2 linked regions of the Sus scrofa genome follow. The protein of the gene in region 1 purifies or fractionates together with the protein of each later gene. This does not show direct contact. Links are inferred from orthologs where the notes say so. Each region holds a gene or a part of one and is shown in the gene's direction. Other genes may lie near its edges.

Region 1 (3,000 bases):
TGCCCTGCCATTCAAAAATTTTTCTTAACATTTGCTTTTTCATTTTATTTTAGGCAAAAGTCAACAACTCTAGTTTAATTGGAGTGGGCTACACTCAGACCCTGAGGCCTGGTAAGTATTCTTGATAAAATATTTTTCTGATAGTGTTTTCAAAATTAGTTTTCATTTTTTAGCTTCTTTTGCAAACCTTTCAAGGATGCAGAAAAATTGACAGAAGGGTACAGTGAACAACACATGTTTACCTTTTTTGCCATAAATTTGTATTCCTTTCTTCTTTTTTCTTTTTCTGTCTTTCTTTTTCTTTGTGCTTTTTAGGGCCATGCCTGCAGCATATAGAAGTTCCAGGCTAGGGGTCGAATCAGAGCTACAGCTGCCACCCTACGCCACAACCACAGCAACTCGGGCTTCTTAACCCAGTGAGTGGGGCCAGGAATTGAACCCAGATCCTCATGTATACTAGTCAGGTTTGTTATTGCTGAGCCACAATGGGAACTCTTGTTCCTTTCCCTTTTTTTATATGGGCTGTTTGGAAGTTGCAGCTACCATGCCATTTCCCTAATCTTGAACATGCTTTGTCTCAGAATTAAGAACATTGTCCTGTATAACCACAGTACTGTTAGCACCCTGATAAAGGTAACATTGATTCCATATTAACTTGATATCCATTCTCTACTTAACTTTCCTTGTAATTTTTATTTCTCCAGTCATAGATCAGTCATTGCTTTGGTTTTTTGGTCTTTGTAGTCTCATTTACTTTACATAGTTTTTTTTTCTTTTTAGGGTCATACCTGAGGCATATGGAGGTTCCCAGGCTAGGGGTTGAGACATCAGAGCTACAGCTGCCGGTCTACACCACAGCCACAGCAATGCAGGATCTGAGCCGAGTCTGTGACCTACACCACTGCTCACAGTAATGCCAGAACGTTAACTCACTGAGCAAAGCCAGGGATCGAATCCACAACCTCATGGTTGGTTACTAGTCGAATTCATCTCCTTTGTGCCACAACAGGAACTCCTTTACATAGTATTTTGAGCCTTGCTGTTTTCTAGGGCAGTACTTTTCAGATATCAGTGTGTGCATGAATCACCTTGGGAATCTTACTCTAATCACATAGGTATATGGTGAGGGGTTCTGTCTTTTTTTTTTTGGCTCCACTCAATGACAAATGGAAGTTCACAGGTCAGGGATTGAACCTGCACCACACCACCCACGGTGCCACAAGAGAATTCCAGGAGGGTTCTGTCTTTCTAATAAGCTCTTAGGTGATGCCAGTATGGCTGGTGCTTGAACCATTTGAATAGCCAGATTCTAAAGCACTTAGAACTTTTTCCCCAGACTTTTTGACTATTTTGAAACCTAAAGAAAAGAGTGGTACCACGAACACCCATATACCTTCCCAGTTACTAACATTTACTATGTTTATGTCTCTATGTATATGTAGTCTTTTTCTTTTCCCTCTACATATATCCTTATGAATTATTTAAATATGTTCTGCAGCACATGGACACATCAGCCTTAGTCCGGGGAGGAAGATGTTTTAAACTACATTATTACTACAGGGCTGTTTTTATAGCTAAGGAAATTAATAATTTAAAATAACACCTAATATATAGTCTGTATTTGGATTTCCCCGCTTGTCCTCAAAATGTCTCTTTATTGTAGTTTTTCCTTTTCAGGATCCAGTTATGATTGTCCTTTAGTCTGGATAATGTATTGAACATTATTGTCTTTTCTAAAGCTGTCTGAGCTTTATTATTAACATTTTAATGCTGTCACTTGATGGCTTTTCTTAGGATGGTGCCAACTGAATTCCCTCTTGTATCTCAGATACTCCCGAGTGCCCTCTGGTGGCTGGCACTAGTAGGTCATCTGACAGGCTGAGAAGTGACAGGCAGGCTGTGACATGATTATTTAAAAAGAAGATTGCAGACTCGTGAGGTTTCAGGCACATGATGGTTGTCTGCTTTTGTTTACAGGTGTGAAGCTGACACTGTCTGCTCTGGTAGATGGGAAGAGCATTAATGCTGGAGGCCACAAACTTGGGCTTGCCCTGGAGTTGGAGGCTTAATCCAGCTGAAAGAAACCTCTGGGAATGGATATCAGATTTGGCCTTAATATATTTCCAGTGTGACCAGCAGGCTTCCCCACCCCCACCCCCCCAAAAAGGTGATCAAAACAAAGGATGATCTAAACAAGAGCTGTATTTTAAATATTTAGACAGTTACTTGTTAGCTGGTTTCTAGTTGAATTGGTTATCTATCTAGTTATCAATGCTGCAGTCGTGCAGTCACCTATACATTATTTAAATGTATTTAACTGTTAAATGCGCTGCCCACCAATAATGAAATAGACCTTTATGAAAACTGTGCAGTTGGTGTGCATGTTTGTTTTTATGTTCCTTTTAACATTTAATATTGCCATTGAATGAGATGGATAAGTGGATATTTTAAGATGAGGTTAAAATTTTTTGTTAAATTCAACCATCATTAGAATTACTTTTGGTATCCCCAGACATAAATTATGAATAAAACAAGTATATATAATTAATGACTCCAAGTATTTGCAGAGTTAAAAACTTGTCACGTAGGGTCAAATCTTCCTGGTATCTAGCTAGTGCTTTATTTTCCAATGAGCATTTTGCTCTTTATAATGTCCTCTGTCCCAAGAGTAACTCAGTGATATTTTTAGACAATAAGATAAATGCATTTAATATCTTTATTTTATAAATTAATGCAAAATTGCATTGGCTCATTAAGTCCAGGAAAGGTTAGCATGTAAGTGACAAAAAGAGGGAAAGGAGGTGGTGCTAAAGTTTGTATACACACACCATATCCCTTCAAGCTGTTGCTATGGGAATGATCCAGGCCCTAGTTCTGTGGGATGGGACTAGGTGTAGGGCAGTGGACTTAGGTGTAGACAGTGTCAGTAATCAGAGTCTGCGAGAGGGAAATGTATGGGCCTCAGTGAGAGGTCATCACTTCTTTCCAGGCCGACACTGC
Region 2 (3,668 bases), on another chromosome or scaffold:
GCTTTCAGTGGCTAAGGCTTATATTGGGGAAGTAACGCTCTTATTTTACAGTCCTCACAGAATTTTTTTTTTAGGGCTGCACCTGTAGTGTATGAAATTCCCAGGCTAGGGGTCAAATTGGAGGTGCAGCTGACAGCCTGTGCCACAACCACAGCAACATGGTGTCCGCTGAGCTACGTCGGTGACCTACACCACAGATCATGGCAGTGCCAGATCCTTCACCCACTGAGCAAGGCCAGGGGTCACACTTGCATCCTCATGGATACTAATCAGGTCGTAACCTGCTGAGCCATAAAAGGAACTCCTACACAATTTTCGAATCTCATTTGAGAAATGAGCAACCTAAGAAATTCCACTCAAATAAAGCTCTAATTCTGTTTAGTGAATGGCTAAAAAGCACAAATAGCCTATTTCTTTTGCTAAATTTGAGTCAGTCTTATATAAGTAAGATATCTTCTCTTGTTTTTCTCATAGACACTTATAGCCACAGAGTGCCATTGCATAAGCCTACAGACTGGGAGAAGAAGATCCTGATATGGTCAGGTCGCTTCAAAAAGGAAGATGAAATCCCAGAGACTATATCGTGAGTGCCGTATTTAGAGTTGTAAGCAGCTTTTATTTTTCAATGATCTGATTTAAAGGAAAAGCAGTTCCTCTGGGGCTGATCATTTAAAACTTTACAATGGAACTTTCAAACAGGTTTCGTTTCTCTAAATGTTACTTACCTCTTTGGCAATACCTGGAATAAAAACAGTACTGGAAAGTGTTTGTCTTATCATTAACATCTTATGTAGTACCTGGTGAAGAGCTGTCAGATACTCTGAAGTAAGTTGATTGATTTCCTCTTTCAGCCACAGAATGTGACTAAACAGTGATGTTCACTGTTGTTGTTGTTTTAATTTTTTTTTTGTCTTTTATTCTTTTAGAACTGCACCTGAAGTGTATGGAGGCTCCCAGGCTAGGGGTGGAATCAGAGCTGTTGCTGCCCAATTATGCCGGAGCCACAGCAACATGTTATTTTTTTTACATTTGTTATACATTTATTTTTGTAATTTTTTTTTCTCAGCTGCTCCAGGCCAGGGATTGAATCCATACCATAGCAGCAACTCAAGCTCATGGAATGATACAACTGGATCCCTAACCCACTGTACCATAAGGGAATTCCTGTAATTGCCTTTTTAAAAAAAATTTTTTTTTTATTTTATGGCTGCATCCATGGTATATGCAAGTTCCTGGGCCAGGGATTGAATCCAAGCCTATACCACACCTGCAGCAACACTGGATCCTTTAACCTACTGTGCCAGACTGGGGATTGAACCTGCATCTACTAAGTGACCTAAGCTGCTGCAGTCAGATTCTTAACCCACTGTACCATGGTGGGAACTTCCATAACTGCTTTTTCTTTTTCTTTTCTTTTTTGGCCACTCCTGCAGCATATGGAAATCCCTGGGCCAAGAATCAAGTCCAAGCTGGAGCTATGACCTATGCAGTAACACCAGATCCTTAACCTACGATACTGGGCCAGGTATTGAACTGATGCCTCCACAGAGACAAGCCGGATCATAAACCCACTGCATCACAGCAGAAACTCCCCTGTAACTGAATTTTTTTTTTAATTTAATTTTATTTTTTTAATTCAAGAAGTATAGCTGATTTACAATGTGTTAATTTTAGATATACAGCAAAGTGATTCAGGTATTATATATGTGTATGTATGTGTGTATATATATGTATTCTTTTTCAGATTCTTTTCTATTAGAGGTTATTACACGAGATCGATTATAGTTCCTGTGCTGCAGGTCCTTGTTGTTTATCTATTTTATATATAGTAGTTTGTATCTGTTAATGCCAAACTCCTAATTTATCCCTCCCCCCTTTGCATTTCCCCTTTGGTAACCAAAGTTTGTTTTCTGTGTCTGTGAGTCTGTTTCTGTTTTGTAAATAAGTTCATTTTGTATCATTTCTTTAGATTCCACATGTAAGTGATATCATATGATATTTGTCGTCATCTGCCTGACTTTGCTTAGTGTGATAAGCTCTAGGTCCATCCATGTTGCTAAAAATGACATTACTTCATTCTTTTTTAAGGCTGAATGGTATTCCATTATGTTTATATAGCACATTTTCTTTATCCATTCATCTGTCGGTGGACATTTAGGTTGATTCCATGTTTTGGCTATTGTAAATAGTACAGCTGTGAACATTGGGGTGCATGTGTCCTTTCAAATTAGAGTTTTTGTCTTTTCCGGTTAGATGCCCAGGAGTGGGATTGCTGGATCATATGGTAACTTTCATTTAGTTTCTTAAGGAACCTCCATTCTGTTTTCCATAGTAGCTTAACCAATTTACATTCCCACCAGTAGTGTAGGACTGTTCCCTTTTCTCCACACCCTCTCCAGCATTAGTTATTTATAGATGTTTAAATGATGGCCATTCTGTCCAGTCAGAGATGGTACCTTATTATAGTTTTGAATTGGATTTCTCTAATAATTAGCAATGTTGAGCATGTTTTCATGTTTCTGTTGGCTATCTGCTTGTTTTCATTGGAGAAATGTCTATTTAGGTCTTTGCCCGTTTTTTGAATGGGCTGTTTATTTTTTTTTTTTTACTGAGTTATATGAGCTTTTTGTATATTTTGGAAATTAAGACATTGTCAGTTACATCATTTGCAAATATTTTCTCCCAGTCCTTACATTGTTTCGTTGTTTTGTTTATGATTTCCTTTGCTGTGCAAGAATTTATAAGTTTGATTAGGTCCCATTTGTTTATATTTGCTTTTCTTTCTTTGGCCTTGGGAGACTGACCTAAAAATACATTGGTACGTACAGTTTATATAAGAATATTTTGCCTACATTCTCTGCTAGGAGTTTTATGGTGTCATATCTTATATTTAAGTGCTTAAGCCATTTCAAGTTTATTTTTTTATGTGATGTGAGGGTGTGTTCTGACTTCATTGGTACATATGGGGCTGTCCAAGATTACTTGCTGAGGAGACTGTCTTTTCCCCATTGTATATTCTTACCTCTTTTGTTGGAGATTAATTGAACATAGTGTGTGGGTTTATTTCTGGGCTCTCTGCCCAGTTCCATTGATCCAAATGTCTTTTTGTGCCAGTATCATTTGATTTTGATTACTGTAGCTTTGTAGTATTGTCTTAGGTCTGGGAAGGATATACCTCCAACTTTGTTCTTTTTCTTCAGGATTGCTTTGGCAATTCTGGATCTTTTGTGGGTCCATAAAAATTTTAGGTTTCTTTGTTCTAGGTTCTTTGAAAAATGTCATGGGTAATTTGATGTGGATCATATTAAATCTGTAGTTTCCTGTGAGTTGTATGGCCATTTTACCAATATAGCATGAGATATCTTTCCATTTCTTTGAATTATCTTCAGTTTCTTTTGTTAATGTTTTATAGTTCTCAGTATATAATTCTTTCACCTCCTTGGTCAGGTTTATCCCTAAATATTTTTTGTTGTTGAGTTTTTTGTTTTGTTTTGTTTTGTTTTTTGTCTTTGTCTTTTAGGGCCACACCTGTGGCATATGGAGGTTCCCATGCTAGGGGTCAAATCAGAGCTACAGCTGCTGGCCTATGCCACAACTCAAGGCAATGCTGGATCCTTAACCCACTGAGCAAGGCCAGGGATTGAACCTGCATCCTTATGGTTATTAGT

Evidence for each region. The genes of interacting proteins can lie anywhere in the genome.
Region 2: the proteins of VDAC2 (region 1) and FAM162A fractionate together in Homo sapiens (co-fractionation; 3 studies listed by BioGRID and IntAct, with this or other methods). This does not show direct contact. The link is inferred for Sus scrofa from reciprocal best matches to the Homo sapiens genes VDAC2 and FAM162A.

What each region holds. Positions count from the first base shown.
Region 1 is NC_010456.5:77,779,957-77,782,956, forward strand, and holds the end of VDAC2 (voltage-dependent anion-selective channel protein 2), read left to right. Parts: intron 1-53; coding exon 54-111; intron 112-1,977; coding exon 1,978-2,069; 3' UTR 2,070-2,371; downstream 2,372-3,000. UniProt on the Homo sapiens protein: Non-selective voltage-gated ion channel that mediates the transport of anions and cations through the mitochondrion outer membrane and plasma membrane.
Region 2 is NC_010455.5:138,124,120-138,127,787, reverse strand, and holds part of FAM162A (protein FAM162A), read left to right. Parts: intron 1-474; coding exon 475-583; intron 584-3,668. UniProt on the Homo sapiens protein: Proposed to be involved in regulation of apoptosis; the exact mechanism may differ between cell types/tissues.